4 linked regions of the Neurospora crassa OR74A genome follow. The main gene of each other region encodes a partner of the protein of the gene in region 3 in a complex. Links are inferred from orthologs where the notes say so. Each region holds a gene or a part of one and is shown on either strand. Other genes may lie near its edges.

Region 1 (5,228 bases), on a different chromosome or scaffold from region 3:
TGATGTTGACTGGCCAGAGTGAGGGCTTCTCTGACAACTAGCCCACCTAAGCTGTGTGCGATGAAGGCTAGCGGGCGAGATCCTTTTGCATCTGGCGGCCTCTTATCCCTCAATTGCTCCAAGAGTTCCCGAGCATGGTCTTGAACTGTGTTTTTGCTGATCTGGCCTTGAGAGAAATGTCGTATCTTGGAATCGTAGCCAAAAGTCATGACCCTGGCAGATGGTAGCGTTACTGGAACCAGGTCCTTTGGCCAGTAAACGTCTGCTGTTTGCGCACTTTTGTGAACATTGTGGCTCGGGGCATCGCTATTTGCCTTTCTTCTTCTCTCAGCCTTTTTTTGATCAATCGTCCAAGTCAAGCGTGGATGACCTGTGAAGCCATGGATGAAAATAATGCTGCAAGCCGCGTTGAACAGTGTGCCCCGAACTACAGTCATTGAATGGATGAGATAGGAGTGGCGGACTCACTCAAGCTCGGGCTCGACATCATTCGGTTCAAAGAGCAACGAAATACCCTGCGCTCTGACCATCGTTGCTGACTGCGGAAGAACTGAACCTGAAGACAGGTTACGTATCTCAGATAGAAGAGGCCTGATGTTATGACGGGATTCCACAAAATCTTTCATGAACGAGGACGGGCATACTGAAAATTCAAGGAGACAAGGACTCGAAGCGGGGGTAACGCCATATCAATACAGCTGCAGCCTGTCAGCCTGTGCCGTATGAACCTACCTAGCTGGAAACTGTATCGGGCAGCCATTGGTCGTTCTGCGACAAATACAACTGCCCAACTTGGTGGCTTGGATATTGTATGTTGATTGGAGGCTGGAAAGGACGAAAATAAGAATGCCCCTGGTAGAAGAGTGAAAAGGGAAGAGGCGGGAGATGGACGATACCACGCAGATATGGAGGAAGGGAAGGAGCATACCTCAATAATTGGTTGCCACAGTTTTTCCTGGTTGATCACCCCAGCTCAGTTGCTATAAAGAAGGGACCAAGTGGAGGTTACCATGATGCGATGAACAATGTTACTGATGGGAAAGGCAACCTGACTCATAAGCCAGCTAAAAGCAATGAGCCATAACCATTTTGATACGCCTGATGAGAAGCCTGTAAAAAGAAAAAACACACACACTAAAGAGGTATGATTACACCGGTTGTTGTCATGACGTAAAAGGCCTCCTTCCATTGTCCTAATTCCCTTGCTGCCTCTACCGCCCGAGCCCATGCCCACACGACAAATAGCGACAATTGCCAAACGCTGAGAGATAGAGAAGACTATCGAGGCAGATGAGAACGAAAGAAGAAAAAAAAGGTCTATTCTTCGAAATGCATCGCTAACCCTTTTTGGATTCGCACTTTCAAATCCTCTCATTGCAATGGCATAAAAGATGCTGGGAGGGGATCTATCCGAGACTCGTCCTGGTCAAGTTGAAGCCCATACGCTGAAGCAGTTCGCCTGCCATGAAGCGACTGAGTTCGCCTGGCCACTTGATGCTCGCCGCGTTCCAATCGTCGGCGATAATCTTGGTCTCACATTCGACGAGAAATCAGTCGCCGCTTTCATGCGTTGCGATCGAGCCCATGCCATAATCATTCCTTCACAATCCTCTTATCGCCCTTGCTTTCCTGACATGTCGACCCGGGTATACTTCTGCCGCCACCATCAGTCAGTTCTCCACTGCCGCTATTGTCACACGCCTATCTGGCAACAGCAGCAGTCAAAACCTGCGTCCTGAAGAAACCGCCCTTGGTGCGCTCAATGACCTGCTGATACACGGAGCTCGGGGGGTGGTTCATGACAACGGTACCCTCCTTGTAGTCGATCTTGGCGTCGAGGCGGGTGTCGCGAATGAGGTTGACAATCCACTTCTCGGCGTCGTCGTTATTAAGACCGAGGCGGGCGCTGAGGTCCTTGAGCGAAATGCGGGCGTGGATCTTGCAGTAGCTCTCGAAGATGAGGTGGCGGGCCGAGTCGACAAAGTCATCGGCGTGGGCGAGCAAGAAGAAGTCGCTCCTGAGGACCTCCTCGGCAAGCACGAGCTGTTGCTGAGCCTCCTCAAAGTCAAAGTCGATGCACAAGGCGTGGACGAAGCGGGTGATGGGGTCCTGGTACTCGTAGGCCTCCTGCTTGACGATGCGAACAACGTCCTTCATCTGCTTCTGGTGGACACCGGCGTTCTTAGCGCGGCCGCGGTTGGTGATGACGGCGACGGTGAGATAGCGGAGGATCCAGGGCGAGTTGGCCTGGATGGTGTTGATGAAGCCGGCGTTGAAGAAGAGGTCGAGGAGGGGCTCACGGGCCTTGTCGTAGTTGAAGAGGGGGAAGAGGGCCCAGTGGACGAGCTCGGTGCGGTGCTGCAGCTGAGCAAGGGGGTTGTTAGCGAGCCTGGTGTCGATGCTCTCGCGCACCTTTTGCAGCTCCTCCATGGCGGACTCCCAGTTCATGGTGAGGATCTCGCAGGCGAGACGACCCCATGTGGCGTACGAGACCTTGTCGTTGTCGGTGGAGAGGACGCGGAAGCGGTAGAGGAGCTCCGAGGCGTCGGCGTAGTTGCCGCACGAGTACTGGAGCTGGCCAAAGTCGTAGAGGGCGTTGACCATGTCGATGGTGACCTGCACAGGATATGGGGGTTAGCCATGTACTACAAGCCACATGTGCCGATGGAAACAAAAAGTAGGACGTACGTCGTGCTCCTTCTTCAAGAACTCCAAGTTGGCCACCTTGTCGGAGCGGAGGTTGTTAACGACATCGTCGCGCTGCAGCAGCTCGGTGATCTTGGCAGTCTCCTGCTCGTACTTTTCGAGCTGGTGGAAGACCTTTTGGCGGCGCTCGGCGTACTCGGCGGGGGGCTCCTTAAGACCCTCGAGCTCGCAGTAGAGGTTGGCGACGTAGTCGGTCATGTTGGTCTTCTTGAGGAGGGCGTACTTGGCGGCGAGGATCTCGCGAGCCTTGTCGGTCTCATCTTCCTTAAGGCGGCCGGCGTTGAACTCGAGGAGAGGGAAGATCATGTGGCGGTCGAGATGGGGAGCGAGCTTGAGGACGAGGTCATAGTTGGCGGGCGCAACGTCGCCGTTGGTGGTGGCGGGGGATGTGGAAGCCATGTTTTGGATTTGTGTGTCTGTGACTATGGTGGTGGTGATGATGTTGGATGGTGGTGATGACAGACGACACTGAGTGGACGACGACAAGGTCAAGTCGGAATCGGGTCGAGTCGAGGCCTGGAGAGGAGAGAGGGGGGGTATTACGGTGGGTGGGATAAGATAGAGGGCCGGGGGAGGGTCGGTCGACTACTATCAGAAGTGAAAGGAAGAGGAATATGGATGGAAAGGGCGTGTCCGGTCTCCAGCTTCGTTCGTTCAGTTGCCAGGCGCTTTGGAAATGCGATCCGCCAAATTTCTCTTTGTGACCCCGTCCAGTTGTGGTGGCCCGTCGTCAATCTTTGGTGGGGTCGAAAATTGGGAAAATGCGCTTGACACCACTGACCAGTGACAAAAAGCACGGGCCATCGAATTCGGTTCAATGCTGCCTCTGTCGCACAACAATTGCACGGCAGCTGAATGCGGTGCCACTTCCACTTCCACTTCCGTCTAGGCACCACGGGAGGGGTAAGTGTAGAGCCCAGATCAGGCACCCCAAGGCCTGGAGCTTCAGCGAACGCCCTGGGCACACAGTTTCAGGCTTTCGTCCCTCTCGCTCGGCGCACATCCCGCCGGACGGGGGGCAGAGCACCTGCGCGGGTACCTACGCGGGGACGCCCGGGCGGTCAATAATTCTGCCGAGTACCGACCAAATTTCCAGAACCCGACGACGGACCCGCCGCGCCGAGAGGAACACGGCCCAGGGCACGGGACGCGGGACCGATCCGACTCCAGCGAGCCAGCAATTGAACGCGCCTCATCCGAAACGGGGACCTCTTGGCCGCAGCGCAGGTCCAGTCTGACCTAACTCCAGATCCCAGCCAAGCCTACCTACCTACCTACCTATCAGATCCCGTTGCGACCAACCGAGCCCAGCTCGATCGATTCGACCTCTTTCTGTCTTTACCACCACCACCACACCACCACACGACACAACACAACACCACAACCATGTTCCGCTCGACCTTCTTCGGCCTCTCCCGGGCCATCGTCCAGCCCGCGACGCCCCTCACCGTCCGCGCCGCCTTCCAGTCCCGATTCTACTCCGCCGCTGCCGCCGCATCGCAACCAACAACAACAGCCACAACAACGACACCACTCCAGCAGCAGCAGCAGCAGCAGCCCACCACACAACCCACCACCCCTATCCAGACCCAGACCGGTGCCGCGCCAACAGAATCCACGAAACCCGTTGCGAAGCCCTACCTAGTAGGCCGCGCCTGGACCCAGCGTCTGCCCGTCTACCACCTCGCCAAGCGCGGTGGTAACAAGAAGCTCACCCAGATCAAGAAGGTGCAAGGTGATGGCCAGGCTCTGCGCAGGGATCTTGCGCAGTTCTTGGGGCTGGAGGTGAAGGAGGTGCGGGTGAAGGTGCCGACAGGACATTTGGAGGTTGATGTAAGTTTTTTTTGTTTGGTTTTTTTGCATTGCCGGTTTGCTGCTATTTGCAAGAAGGGTGAGGCAGTATGACATCAAGAGTGAGGGAATGAATGGAAGAGAAATCGGAAAAGAGTTGGAAGTTCGGAAAGAGAGGCAAAGAGGTAGAGGTTCGAAGATCATGGGACAATGGACAACGGGTTGAGATGGGAGAAAAGAATAGGGCGATAAGAAAACAAGAAGAGGGTTAAACCTGCAGCAGAAAGGACAGGTGCTAACGGACTACCAACATAAACAGGGACACCGCAGAGAGGAAATCGTCAAGTTCCTGGACGGCTTGGGCTTTTAAATGAGGAAGATGTTACACCGATGAACCTCTAGAGCTTGCAGCCACAAGTCCACATAACACGACGAGGACCAACCTATTACCGGGAGAGATACCATGCTGCTCCATGCCACGGACTGGAGAGCATGCTGGGGCATATTCCGGGAAGTGCTGGATGCTTCGTCGCCCGCGACGAGGACTACCGAGTGAGTGGTCACATATATAGAGAGTCCTCGGCTACGCGGTGGGATCACCGAGGGGTAAATAGGAGGATTGCGTGTACGATGGAAGAATATACCACATGTTGAGACAATGTATCATCACCAAAACGGGTTGTAAGGAGCGGCTAAAGGATTTACAAAAGCGGTCGAATGATATTTGTCTC
Region 2 (5,108 bases), on a different chromosome or scaffold from region 3:
CTAACAAGAAGGTCTATACGGAGGAGGAGGACAGATTCCTTCTGGTGATGCTGGACAAGTATGGCGTCGATTCCGAGGGCATCTACGAGAAGATCCGGGATGAGATCCGCGAGAGCCCTCTTTTTCGCTTCGATTGGTTCTTCCTTAGCCGTACTCCCATTGAGATCAGCCGTCGCTGCAACACTCTGCTGACGACGATCGTCAAAGAGTTTGAGGACGAGCCTAGCAACACCACCAAGGCCAAGGTGAACGGGGTCAATGGCAAGCTCAAGCGTGAAGCGAATGATGAAGACAATGACGAAGACAGTGTTTTGGGCCTGGCTCCTGCCAAGAAGAAGACCAAGGCTAATGGTGTCAAGGTAAACCATCCCCTGCTTTTCTCACTTTGGAGATGTTCGTACTAACTTGAATTTACCCGCGTAACAGAACAAAGCGCTAGACAACGTCAAGTCAGCGTCCGGTAGCAAAGCCACCTCGGCTGCCCCTTCGCGCGCGTCAAGCGTGGCGTCGACGGAATCGAAGGCGACAAAGGGCAAGGCTGCCCCCAAGGGAAAGAAGAAGTAGACCGCCTGATGGTGGTCCAGACCAAAAATACAAGCTACGGCACATGTATTGACTTGGCTTGGTATTCGAAGCTGTAGTTGCGTTTCATATGACTGGGTTAGATTGGGTGAAGGGGCTCGGTTCACCACTGAGAAGAGTCCAGGGAGGGTTAATGCAGTTGGCTCGCGGCGTTTCCGTTGTGTCGTATTCATGTTGCGGTCTCGGTGATGGTTATCTCACCTGCCGTCATTTAGCGAGGGATTTCTCTGCCTACCTGAGGAACAAAAGATATCCTTTTGGTCAAATCCGTTCTCTGATGGATGAATAGGGCATGATGTGCGCAGTCTTGTACTTCCTTTACCCCTGTATTATTGTTTCCACTTGTGTTGGATTCTTATTGACCATAAGGGAGTGAGTAAGCAATTGGCGAAAGACCTCTACTTATAACGTCCAATCTGATATCACATGAACGAGGTTGCGCAAGATAGTAAGCAGAAGAACGACCGAATTCAACTATGACAAATGACTCTTCTGTGCTTCGATAGGGACCAAAGGTTCCTTTCGTGACAAGATGGAAATTACATATCCGCTCTCCGCGCGACTCACTTGTTCGTTCGTTTGCTTCACATCGAACCGCACCACCTCATCGCTCCAATTTTTGCTCCTTTTCACTTTTTTTTTCACCAAATATTGGGTGGAATCGCCCAAATTCTCAGATTAGGTTGCCTGAAAAAAACGCCGTTTGTGAAATGCCCATTTCCCCCAAATTGTTGGATCCCTGGACGCGCGATGTAAAATAACCCGTTTGCTCATTTCCTTCCTCCGACAAGTCGAGAGAATCCTGAACTCAATAACACGACACCCATATTTCGTCCCGCGAATCGCCTTTCCGCCCCTTTCTGCCGCCCCTCCTCGGATCCTGCTTGCTGAAAGTCCGAAAGTTTCGATCGATGTCGATAGAAGGGATCCGTTTAGGCAGAAATGGTCTGCTGTTGTTGCTGGTTGAGCTTGTTTTGCCTCTCCCTCTCGACCTCGTACATAAAGTCAAAGTAACCCTTGTCGAAGTGATGGATACGGACGTAACCGTCCTCACCACCGCTGGCGTAGCTCTTGCCGGTCGGGTCGGCGGCAACCGTGTTGAGGGGACCGAAGTGACCGCGCACACGACCAATTTCGCTCTCGAAGATCTTGTGGTAGAAACGCGCCTCGAATTTACCCTGACGCGCGGAGGTGGTGGTGACATCCATGGCAGCCTGACCACCACCGAGAATGACGAAGTCCTTCTTGCGAGTGATGGTAGCGCTGTTAAGAGGGGTGTCGGCGGGGTAGGTCTTGAGGACCTCCAGGTCCTTAGCTGTGATGAGCTGTGAAAATAATCAAGGAGTGTTAGCATGCGATTGACTGTTCATTGATTTCGGTTTTAAGGATCCGGGAAGAAGACCAAAGAAAGAAAAAAAAAAGGGGGGGGGGGGGGGTTGTGGAGCCATGTGACATACCTTGGAGGTCTTGTCCTTGGAGGCGGTAATGAAGTATGTACGGTCGTGCGACCACTGGAGATCGGTGATGGGCTGGTTGAGCTCGTGGATGGGGATGTTGTAGAGGAGGTCGCCGTTCTTGCCGTCGAACTGGGAGACGGAGCCGTCTTCGTGGCCGGCAATGATGTACTTGCTGAGATAACTCCAGCCAGCAACAGTGGCCTTGCTGTCCTCGCAAACGATAGTCATGGCCTTCTCATCGCTCTGCTCGGCGTCAACATCGAGCTTGATGTCGAGGACAACGATGGTACCCAGATGACCCATGCGCTTCTCCGTCACACCCAGAAGCTTGCTGCCATCCTCACTGAACTCAACGCGCTTGACGGCGGTAGGGAAGTCCCATGTCTTAAGAAGTCTGCCGGTCTTGATCTCCCAAAGGCGGATGGTGTTGTCGGCAGAACCAGAGGCGAGGATGGTGGATGTGGGGTCGACATCAATGGTCCAGATGGCGCCCTGGTGGCCGTGGTATGTACCGAGACGCTCGCCGTTGTGCGCGAACCAAACGCAAATCTGCTGGTCCTTGGAAACTGAGAAGAGCAAATCACCGTCGCGGTTGTACCTGTTGGGGGTAAAGGGTTGCTGTTAGAGGCTGCATCTCTATATGCCCGACATGCCAAAGCCAGAACACCAAGAGGGGTCGGGTCGGCGGGTAAGGTATGCGATGATGATGCGGAGGGAAGACGAACTTGATCTGGGTGAGGGCACGTTCGTGGCCCGAAAGAAGAATGGGCCTCATCTTGATTGTGGGTTATTAAATATGACGAGGCGTGGACGGCGGTATGGAAGTGTTATGGTCGTTAGAAGACACTGAGTGGATTCGTCGTCGAGAAATATCGCGGGGGGGGGTTGCACGACTTGGGAGGTAGGTGGGTGGATTAGTGTCTTTGTAGATGCGGTCGTCGTCGTCGGATCGGTCTTTGGTGTTCTTTCTTTGGGTGGATTTCCACTCCCAGTAATTTTTCCGCAGATTGTGCGCGATAGGCTGGCTGGCTCTGGCGGATTCTGACGGCCGCGGGGCGAACCAACACCTATCCCTGCAGATGCCAAGCTGCCCCTCTCCAGTCCCTCGTCCCAGCCAGCCGTGTGCCATCCATTGAAGCTGCTGGTTTCAGTTCGGACCGGACTCTGGACCTTGCGATGCAGCCTGCCACCTCGATCCGCCGCTCGCAGCCTGCCGGCCCGTCGACAGCCACCGATAAGAAGTTGTGGCTCAGTCTGTGACTCAGAGTTTAAGAGTCAGCTGTATTCGTCAAGCCTGTGCCGCGGCCGCAAGCCACACCAACTTCAATCTAGAACAACGACACAGACAGGACAGTGCGAGCACATCATGATCCGAGCTGCTACCTGCAGCAAGCCGAGAACTTGTAGAGTCATGGATGCAGCATCTAGACACCCACTTCAATTGCAGTTATATGAATGCCCTCTTCCGGGGGTCGCATCGAGGAGGAAAAGTTCTTCAACTCTCGGAGATTTGTAGACGGAAATAGAGGCTTTTCTAACGAGACATGGTAGGATTCTTGCAAGAATGCATGGTGAATACGTACTATTTTGAGAAGCTTGGGTTTGGGCTCTATTCTATTTAGGTTATCTCATTGGCTTCACGTTTTGTTGTCACATTTACACTGGTCATTTGCGGCACGTCTTGAGACGCTCACCTTCGGTGACTCCTCGAGAAGGGAAAGAAAGAAAAAAAAAAGAAAAAAAAATCACAAATCACGAAACCTCTATTCCCGCCAGCAAACCGGCGATCATTGGATCCTCGACATCGATCCCCCGTCGTCTACCTAGGCGGGAACCCATTGTGACTCTTCTGTGCGGCGCAGAAAACCCCTGGGTCCCGAATCCGTCTGGTCCCACCCCGTCGTGGAGGTGCCCGGGGGCGTCGAGAGAGCTTGGCCGGGCGGAAGTCTTGAGCTTCTGAATATCCCTTACCCCGAGCCTGCGTCCGCTGCTGTTCAGTGTGATGTTGTTACAGCACGCACGCAGAAAGACCACTGCACCCTTCTTCTAGCTCTACAGTACCAGTCTGCGTCGTGTAGGCATGGCCATCTCCAGCTTCATCCAGAGGGTGTCTTCCACGTCAAGGAAGTCGCGTCGAGCCGGAAGCTGTCTCACATCCCTGTCCGCACACGGGTCGCTGAACACACGGCGGCGCATTCAAGTCGAGCATACGGGACAAGACGTGCTCAAAAGATGGACATTGTCGTGGGGCACGGAATCCGACTCTCGGAGCTCTACCTCGGCTTTCGTCGCCTCTGCAGCTGGTACCACTGACTTCTCCGCCGCCCCGCGATCCACCTGCAGCCGCCCTAAGAAATCCCGTTATTGGCGCCTATCTCCAGTGACGGGGCTTACGGGGTCGATTCTGGTGTCACCGTCATGCGCCGGGGCAGCAGCTGCTAGCGATTTTGGAGCTAATGCGCTGCTCTCCCCCTCATCTTCAACTCTGCCTCTGCCTGACACTTTACCCTTTGCACCATCTTCCTCCTCCCGCTTCTCTCACATTCAGGGTCCTGTCTCTCGATACGCTGCTGCTTTTGGCCATCCGCGCAGCTCCATCAGGACATATTCCAGTTTAGCTTCTCCCAGAGCCGCAACAAGGGAGCCTGAAGCAGCAATGGCCTCCAAGATCGACGGCACCGCGCTGGCCAAGCGCATCCGCGACGGTCTCCGCGCTACCATCGACGAGACCAAGAAGACCAACCCGCGCTTCCGCCCCTGCCTCAAGATCATCCAAGGTGCGCTTGTGTGTGTGCTGCGTGCTTTTGCAGATGAAACCCAGTGGCTAACCAGTTGACTGCAGTTGGTGATCGATCCGATTCCTGTACGTTGAGACTGCTGCACCGTCCACCACTTTATCTACCCCGCCGTCACAGCAACATTTCTGTGCCACGCATTGTCCCTTGCTGACTGACCGTCTGTCTGCCATGCAGCTACCTATGTGCGCATGAAGTTGAAGGCTGCTGAGGAGGTACGCACAAGCTCGGGGATATCCTGTCCTACATCGGACGACTGGCAGGCAGGATTCGG
Region 3 (5,120 bases):
GGGCAACGAGTCGAGTGGTGTGTTGGTCAGTCAATGCCGGAGCTGAGGATTCGATTCAAAAGAGAGGATCTCAAATGATCAAGTGGCGGGATGGTGTGTTCCAGGAAGGTTGTATGTAGAGTAGAGTGGAAAAAGATGGGGTGGTGGTGGTGGTGGTGGTGACGGCGCCGGGCTGGGGAGAATGACTGACTGAGTGAACTGAATGATGCTACTGTGCAGTTCGCGAGGGACTGGGATAGGCCGCGGGCAGTGCTAAGGTATTGGGGGGGGGGGGGGCCTCCACCAGAAAGCAACCATACAACGTCAGGGACTCACAGTGTACATTACCTTACAACCTAGGCCTTGATGACCGCGCCCCAAGTGGAAGCTTCCCTTTTCCTCACTTTCTTCCACTTTTTCGCTTGGAAATCACGCCGCGCCTCGCCATAACTCCACTCTTTTGGCGCGTCTAAGTCAACAAATCCACAGAAAGGGAAACAGCATCCAGTTGACAACATTGATTTTATTCAGTGCTCTATGAAATATCCACGTGTATATACAATCTGAGTTATACCCCCACGGGGCTTTGTTTACTGTTGCTGTCTCTGTACGCTAGGTACACTTGTTGACTTTCTTTCGGCGGTGCACACCCTCAGCCCTGGTTGAATGTCACCATGTGCATTGCATACATAGTAGCGTAGGGCTGGTTGGTCATCACTCTTTTTCTCGGGAATCTATTGTGGGTTCATTGTGACTCTTCACCATCCTTCTGGGCTGTCAGGCGTGCCGGTCATTTGTTATTTTGAGACTCCCATCACGTCAGTGGAAAAGGGAAGGAGCTGATACAATATCCTCAGGCTGTAATGGAAGGTGGCCGTTGCCCGGGTCACCACCACACTTTTAAGTGTCTGCCTGGATATCCGATTCGGATGCCCCGTGACCCCCTCTTTGCTTCCCGCTTCTGTTTGTGTTTTAGGTGACCTAGCTTACAAAGGTGACTGTTGCAACTGGCTAGAGTCCCATTTTTGTCCTGATGGATACGATGGTGAAAAGTCGAAAAGAAAATATTCGATGATGTAGCGAGTTCAATAGTTTTGTTTTGATGCAGCCGAATACTCCAATCAAGGTGTGTCGTCATTCCCGTGGTTGATATCTCCACAGCCCACGGCAAGTAACTGCGAACCTCGATCGAGTGCATCACATCATATAGGAAATCATATTGTTCGAGTGGTCAGAAATCTCGACTTGGATAATGGATTTGTCAAGTTCGAATCCTTCGATTATTCATCAGGTGCGTTTGTTGATATCCATGTAAGAGAATCATGGATGGGAATGTGACTTTAAGAAGATCGGATTTGGAGAAGCTGGGGACAATGTCAAGCGCACGGTGACAAGCAAAGGAAAAGGGACTGAAGCCCGGGAGCTTGACATTGTCAAAGACCTCGCTGGGACGGACCACCCCATGGGTCAGGGTTTTCTATGTCACAAGCAGATGACTGCAATAACCCTGACCATCGACACAGCTCCTGCACGTGACTGGCTGGAGCACACAGAACAGCTCTTCTTCAGCACAGGGCAAAAATAGGCGGTGGGCTTGGCATTGGAATGCGGGGCATTTTTTTGCTTTGAGAAATTGGGTCGAGGGTCCGGTCAGGTCTCTGTCGTCCATGGGATGAGAGAGGGACACCACACCACTCAGCGAGTCGAGGCCCAGGAACTGTGCAAAGAAAAAGAAAGAGCGGAGCCCTGCCACTAAGAAAACTTCCTTTGGGGCCCGCCCCTCCCTCCCACGTCTGACAGGATATCCGTATCGTTTCCGGCCAGTGTCGACCTTTAGCACCAGGACATACTATCAGATTGTCCCCGGCCATATTTTCCCCGTCGCCGTGTCCCCCGTCCGTCCCTGACTCCGTCCCGCCGTGTGTCTCGCCTCAACCCGACCTCACTCCAGCCTTGAGGTCCAAGTGGGAATAGTTCGATAGCCCCGTCGTCAAACAACCACACACGCACACACACACACACCGTCAACACCCATCAACATGGCTACCCCCCAGTTGATCTTCGTCGACGGCACCTTCGCCGAGCTGGCGCAGGAGATGGCCGACTTCGTCCAGGTCGGCGAGCAGGTCCAGCCTCTCCTCGAGCAGGACAAGCGCGAGGATGCCCTTGACCTCATCGTCAAGGCCTCCCACTCCCTCAACGCCGCCCCCGAGAAGGACTTCACCCCCGCCTACAACCTCCTCATCCACCTCGTCCTCCAGTCCGAGGAGCCCAAGAAGTACCTGCCCACCCTGTGCGCCAACCTTCTCAAGCCCATCACCTCGTCTCCCACCCACGGCTTCACCCTGGCCTCCAATGCGCTCACCACCATCTTCAACCTCCTCGACAAGTCCAACCCGCTGCGCTTCAATGTCTTTATGCAGATCGTCCGCTTCATCAGGCAAAACAGCCAGTTCGACCTCCTCAAGCCCAGGTTAAAGAACGTCGAGGGCTGGCTCCAGGAATGGAAGTCCGACTCGGAGAGCCAGCGCAAGCTCTACGTCGAGGTTTCCGATGCCGCCAACGACGGCGGTGATCAGGAGTGAGTATTTTACCTTTTATAGCATCATGCATTGTGCACCTTTACGGCTTCATGCTAACCTTTGGTCTGCAGGGAGTCCTACTTCTACCTCCTCAAGGCTCTGGCCACTTTCGACCGCGACAACCAGGACGAGGTCGCCTCCGACGAGGCCCAGAAGCTCTCCCTCCGCGCCCTCCGCATGGCCATCTCGTCGCCCACCCGCTTCGACTTCAACGACCTGCGCTCGCTCCCCTCGGTCCACGCCCTGAGCGACTCGCACCCCGTCTACTCGCAGCTCCTCGACATCTTCACCGAGCAGGACCTCGAGGACTACAACGACTTTAGGGACGAGCACCAGGGATGGATCGAGAACGAGAAGCTCGACCACGAGAAGCTGCAGCGCAAGATGCGCCTGCTCACCTTTGCGTCGCTCGCCGCCAGCACCCCGAACCGCGAGATCCCCTACGCCAGCATCGCCAAGGCCCTCCAAATCCCCGACGAGGACGTCGAGATGTGGACCATTGACGTGATCCGCTCCAAGCTGGTCGAGGGCCGCCTGTCACAGAAGCAAAAGGTGTTCTTGGTTCACCGCACCACCTACCGCGTCTTTGGCGAGAAGCAGTGGCGCGAGCTCGGCACCCGCGTCGACCAGTTCAAGACGGTCGTCGATAGGCTCGTCGGCGTCGTGCGCAAGGCCCAGACCGATGTCGAGGCCCAGCGTGAGCGTGAGCAGCAGGAGCTCGAGCGCAAGCTGGCCAACGCCGGTCTTGGCGAGTCGGAGCAGCGCGGCGGCAACCGGGGAGGACGTACCGGCGGTGCCAGACAGACGAGGCAACGCACGGATGATGATGACTGAAGGGGGGTTGCCAACAGGATGTTTTGCTGCAATAATTGGTTGTTGTTGTTAGTAGCATAGAGATATGGGGGGACCTTTCAAAAAGAAAAAAGAGCGATGTCTTGCCCCTGTATCATCCCGCTCGGTCATCAGTTCAGTTCAGTTCATTCGAATGGGAAAGGAATTCTACATCAAAACGGGTTGTTGTTGTTATCTATCAAGGAGTTGTGAGCCCCAAAAAAATACGGAACACTATTTTCAAGGTAGAGCTGCTACACTTTTTGGCGGATTTGCATTTTTGTTGTTGTTGTATCATTCCGAGGAATGGCAGCTTTAGATATCCAGCAATCATCAGGTTTTCTCTCTCCATTTATACATCAGTGATGGATGATATGATGCGTGAGGGCAAATCCAGAAAGGTGGAGTATAGATCATGATACCCAGGATATACAAGGCAACGGAAGCGTAATATCAATGCTTTTTGAGACAAGGTCTATGACCACCAGCAGCAAAGGGAACAATGAATCATCATGCTCAGGCTTCCCAACGATGAATAGTATAAACGCAATACCAAGCCATCTCGACATCTGGAAAAAGACAGAGCAAGTTCAATTTCCAAACGGGAGAAAACCATCCCCATCCATCCACGAACCGCCTCCGCGACTCCATCGCTCCGTCCCTTTCCAATAAATCTGTAGTAGTGTATAGTATTTTAAAAGTTTTTATCTAATGGAACGGCCAACCCCATCTCAGAATTAGTACCTAGAAACCAAGTTTACCTCAACCCCCCATCCCATCCCCGGAGTAAGACAAGTCAAGTCAATCCCCCCCCCCCCCCTACACTAACTAAAACTTATCCCCAAACACCCTCCTCAGCTGCTTTCTCGTCTCCTCATACACCTTCTCCGGCCCCGGCGTCGAATCCACCTTGACCACCTTTCCTTCCCTCTCATAGTGATCCACAACCGGCATGCTCGTCTCCACAAACGTCCTGAACCGCTTCCTGATACTCTCGGCATTATCATCTTCACGCCCGCTCGTCTTGCCTCTTTCCAGCAGTCTCTTCTCCATTTCTTGTTCCGGGCAATCATAGAACAACACCATTTTCGCAGGGCAAACGACCTCTTCGAACTTGACAGCTTGGTCCATCTTGCGCGGGAAGCCATCAATCAGGAACCTGCCTGTCTTGGTTTTGCCAGAGACCAGAGTGTCGCGCATGGCGTTCTCGAGAAGGGCCACGGTGACTTCCATGGGGACGATGGCGCCGTTCTTGATGCAGTCCCGGATAAGCTGGCCGTATTGGGAACCCGGGCGGTCTTGTTCGGCGCGGAGTAGGTCGCCGGCCGAGAGGTGGGTGAAGCCGTAGTCGCGCACGAGACGGGCGCATTGGGTGCCTTTGCCGGCGCCGGGGCCGCCGAGGACGAAGATGACGGTTACGTCGGAGGGGGAGAAGGCGGGGGTTGTGGTTGTGGCGGGAGCGGGAGCAGCCGCGGCTGAGGAGGAGGAGGTGGGGTTGGGAGGCATGTCTAGGTGTGTGATCGGGGGTGGTTAGCTTTGTTGTTGTTTTGAGGACGGTTTATATGTTGGTGGTAGGTAAAATAGGGAGGTAGGTAGAGAGGTAAGTGGTGGTGAGCTTTCCACTTAGTTTAGGAACTACCTCTAGGTAGGTGGTGGGTTGTGTCGGACGTTTCATCTCGTCTCGTCTCGTCTTGTCTCGTCTGACAAAGCCGCAGGGCGGCAGCAGCA
Region 4 (3,212 bases), on a different chromosome or scaffold from region 3:
TCTCCTTCAACGCCTTTGAGGCTAGATGATATCAGTCTCACGGCGTTACGCGATTCTTACTTTTCAACTTCCTTAATTGCCATCTTCAACTTCGCATTCTCATCTTTATTTCTGTATGGATATTGAGTTGCAGCTGTTAATTTAATCCAGGGGCCATCAACGGCTACAACCTTTAAGAAGTACTACGCAATGACCATTGGAATAAAGGAGTAAGAAGCCAACCATATACCATTAACGATGTCCTGATCTCACCATATCACGGCTTCAAGCTTGGAGACATCTATATGCCCAGACTACCATTACATGTTTACCTCTCCCGAGAGCGAGAACTACAGCACGGTAATTACGATGGTTTTGAGGTCTGCTTCAGCAGCCTGACAACTACACAAATTACCCAATCTGAACATCTGCAACTGTTCGATGGGGCCAAGGGACCAAGAGCAGACTACATGGAAAATAAGGCTGTGCCCATCATCACCCGCTGGGCTGCAGAATCCTCTCGTACATGACGCGGTTTGCCCTCGAAGAAGGATGCATCGATCTGGAGTGGAAAAATTCGAGTACCGTGACGAGGCTATGCGTTCCTTCGCGGATGCCTCGTAATTCCGGAAGAATTACTACTACTGGTTATATCATAAAAACCCAAGTTATTGTCACGAGAGCGGGAGGTGTACTGATGTTGAGACATACATTAAATAGTATTGCGCCTCTCTTCACACTTCTCTCGGGAAAGATCGAAGAAAAAGCATAGAACCCAAACAATAAGACCAGATATCCCACCATGTCTCGATGTCAAATGTCAATCTGAAACCCTGTACCTATGCAGTAAAGACCCAAGTAAGTCTGGCGACTCTTTCCTTCATAATCACCCATGTCCAAATATCTTCTTTTTTTCTTGTGTTTTGTTTTTTGTGGTCATTTGTGGCACATGAAGATTCCTTCGAATTTCCACAACGGTAACCATTTGTCCCAAAGCAGACATTAGACAATCCCAATCCAGATATTGCTTGCCCGAATTTGATCAGTCACAAGTTTGGCCCATAACAAGGCCGTCAACAAGGTAGTTCGCGCTAGAAAACAAACGTCGGAAAGGTTTATCAGCCACAACCTCGTGTTGTAGGGTGCCTCACTGCATACGAGGGTGATGACAAACCTCTCAGAATGGCACAGCAAGCGCGAGAAAATTTGGTAATATGGAGTTCCTCACGACACGTAATATATAGTATATATACACAAATACCTACCTATCGACATGTCCAGCCATGCATGTCCTATGTCCCAAATTCACTTCCCCGGCTCTCCCTTTCAGTTCTCCCGGTCACCGTCGTAGCAGGCATTGCGAAACGTCAAAGAAACCCCCTGAGCAATATCAAAAGTGCAATATTGACAACGGCGAGGTGCGACAACGACGGATGATGACGCGACAGCCGGAAAACACGGTGCGATGGCGGGATGTTTGGAAGGAGGCTGATGCGACAAACTCAGGGGGTAGGTTAGCACGTCAGGTAGTGTAGTACCGGGGAGTGTGAAACAGAGCCGATGGAACAGTTTTTCTTGAAATTGGGAAAAGTAAAACGAAAAGCTTTGTTGAAGACTTTTGTGTCTTTGTCACCGTGGTGAAAGCAGTGATCGTCGACCGGGGTGTTCCCAAGCGACGGGGTTTTGGGGTCGATCGCTGCCCCGTCCTCATCTTGATCAGTGGAGCTGCGACGGTGGACGGAGAGTAACTCGTCCTTTAATATTGCAACGTAATTTCGAATTACCCCGAAACCAAGCCCTCGGATCTTTGGTCAAATTGTCGCTGAATTACAAAGGTACGCTATAAGACGTTACACGGAACATAAAGAGATTGATCAAGTACCGTAAAAGCGGTCGCCGCATGAAGAAGTTGTAAACAGCTTTTGGGACTTGTCATGACCATTAACCATCAACGTCTGGGAGGACTGGGACCATTTGAATGAATGAATGATAAACGTGAAGAAAAACGCACAACCACTTTTAGTCCAGTCTATACTGCAAGAGGTGCTCCCCATATTACGTGATGCTAGTTTACATGAACCTCGTAAAAAAGGGAGCGCGAACAACCCTTAACTCCCATGAGAACAAGTGCAAAGAGATAGACTCTTAAGCACCCTCACGTCTCCACTTGGGAACGTACTTGCCGGGAGCACCGCTCGCCTTCAAGGGCTCCGCAGGAGGGACGTCCCTGTCATTCTCAGGACGACCGGATCCAGCTCTCTGAGGGGCGGCAGCCCTGAGAGGAGGAGCGCTCCTCTCAGGGACGGCCGCAGCATTACCACCTCCGGAGGCGGCCTTGGCAGCCTCTCTCTCACGCCAGCTGGGGCGGTTGCCGGCAAGGGCCAGGCGGGGAGGAGCAGCAGCTTCTGTCCTCTCCGCAGGGGGGGCAGCGGCACGGGGTCTTTCGGCAACGGGCTCGGCGGCAGCAGGTGCGGGAGCGGCGGTCTCTCCAGAGGCGGCCTTGGCGGCCTCGCGCTCTCTCCAGCTGGGGCGGTTGCCAGCGAGGGCAATGCGGGGAGGAGCAGCAGCCTCGGTACGCTCCGCAGCCGCGGGGGGTCTGTAAGCAGAAGGGGTCGCGGCAAGCTTCTCCTTCTCGGCCTTGCGCCTGGCCATGGCCTCCTCCTCGCGCTGTTGCTGGCGAGCAGCAATCTCGCGCAACTTCTCACGCTCCTTCTCCTTCTCCTCCTTGAGACGCTGGAGCTCCTCCCGGCGAGCCTCCAGACGCTTCCTCTCTTCCTCCTTCTCCCTGGCGGCGCGCTCCTCGGCCTCGCGGAGCTGACGCTCACGCTCCTCACGCTCGCGCTTCTCGCGGATCCTCTTCTCGCGGGCCTCCTTGCGGCGGGCGTTGATCTGCTTCTCCATCTCACGCTCGGCATCACGACGGCGCTTCTCGAACTCATCACGGCGACGCTCGTGCAGGTCAGACCTAAAGGACTCGTAGAAGGGCATGAGGCGAGTGAGACGGTGCTTAAGCTCAACATCAGCCTTGTGCTTAAGCTCAGCCTCCTTGAGAGTCTGTGCCTTGGTACGCTCGTAGGCAGCGAGATCGCGCTCGCGCTGCTTGGCGTAGTCTTCGGGGAGCTTCTTAGCCTCCTCCTTTCTGAAGGCACGCTCAAGATGATCAAGACGCTTGCCGGTGATCCGGAGCTTCTCGGCGACGCTGTTCTTCTCACGTTCGAGTTGCTGGAGCTTGA

Evidence for each region.
Region 1: NCU02813 (region 3) and NCU05889 share a complex: the UniProt entries of both Schizosaccharomyces pombe proteins name them as parts of the eukaryotic translation initiation factor 3 (eIF-3) complex. The link is inferred for Neurospora crassa OR74A from reciprocal best matches to the Schizosaccharomyces pombe genes tif313 and int6.
Region 2: NCU02813 (region 3) and NCU03876 share a complex: the UniProt entries of both Schizosaccharomyces pombe proteins name them as parts of the eukaryotic translation initiation factor 3 (eIF-3) complex. The link is inferred for Neurospora crassa OR74A from reciprocal best matches to the Schizosaccharomyces pombe genes tif313 and sum1.
Region 4: NCU02813 (region 3) and NCU00040 share a complex: the UniProt entries of both Schizosaccharomyces pombe proteins name them as parts of the eukaryotic translation initiation factor 3 (eIF-3) complex. The link is inferred for Neurospora crassa OR74A from reciprocal best matches to the Schizosaccharomyces pombe genes tif313 and tif301.

Annotation. Positions count from the first base shown.
Region 1 is NC_026507.1:4,173,583-4,178,810, forward strand, and holds NCU05889 (eukaryotic translation initiation factor 3 subunit 6), read right to left. Parts: upstream 3,447-5,228; 5' UTR 3,106-3,446; coding exon 2,689-3,105; intron 2,617-2,688; coding exon 1,702-2,616; 3' UTR 929-1,701; downstream 1-928. Other genes in the region: NCU11305 (hypothetical protein), read right to left, coding at 1-213, 469-530; NCU05890 (hypothetical protein), read left to right, coding at 4,093-4,539, 4,817-4,867. UniProt on the Schizosaccharomyces pombe protein: Component of the eukaryotic translation initiation factor 3 (eIF-3) complex, which is involved in protein synthesis of a specialized repertoire of mRNAs and, together with other initiation factors, stimulates binding of mRNA and methionyl-tRNAi to the 40S ribosome.
Region 2 is NC_026506.1:1,994,505-1,999,612, forward strand, and holds NCU03876 (eukaryotic translation initiation factor 3 subunit 2), read right to left. Parts: upstream 3,077-5,108; 5' UTR 2,815-3,076; coding exon 2,765-2,814; intron 2,638-2,764; coding exon 2,040-2,637; intron 1,908-2,039; coding exon 1,515-1,907; 3' UTR 1,032-1,514; downstream 1-1,031. Other genes in the region: crf4-1 (chromatin remodelling complex ATPase chain ISW1), read left to right, coding at 1-359, 427-564; NCU03877 (C-1-tetrahydrofolate synthase), read left to right, coding at 4,120-4,816, 4,882-4,902, 5,012-5,049. UniProt on the Schizosaccharomyces pombe protein: Component of the eukaryotic translation initiation factor 3 (eIF-3) complex, which is involved in protein synthesis of a specialized repertoire of mRNAs and, together with other initiation factors, stimulates binding of mRNA and methionyl-tRNAi to the 40S ribosome.
Region 3 is NC_026501.1:9,034,121-9,039,240, forward strand, and holds NCU02813 (eukaryotic translation initiation factor 3 subunit M), read left to right. Parts: upstream 1-1,562; 5' UTR 1,563-2,018; coding exon 2,019-2,560; intron 2,561-2,632; coding exon 2,633-3,395; 3' UTR 3,396-3,850; downstream 3,851-5,120. Other genes in the region: NCU02812 (uridylate kinase), read right to left, coding at 4,221-4,900. UniProt on the Schizosaccharomyces pombe protein: Component of the eukaryotic translation initiation factor 3 (eIF-3) complex, which is involved in protein synthesis of a specialized repertoire of mRNAs and, together with other initiation factors, stimulates binding of mRNA and methionyl-tRNAi to the 40S ribosome.
Region 4 is NC_026503.1:2,371,986-2,375,197, forward strand, and holds the end of NCU00040 (eukaryotic translation initiation factor 3 110 kDa subunit), read right to left. Parts: coding exon 2,125-3,212; 3' UTR 1,656-2,124; downstream 1-1,655. UniProt on the Schizosaccharomyces pombe protein: RNA-binding component of the eukaryotic translation initiation factor 3 (eIF-3) complex, which is involved in protein synthesis of a specialized repertoire of mRNAs and, together with other initiation factors, stimulates binding of mRNA and methionyl-tRNAi to the 40S ribosome.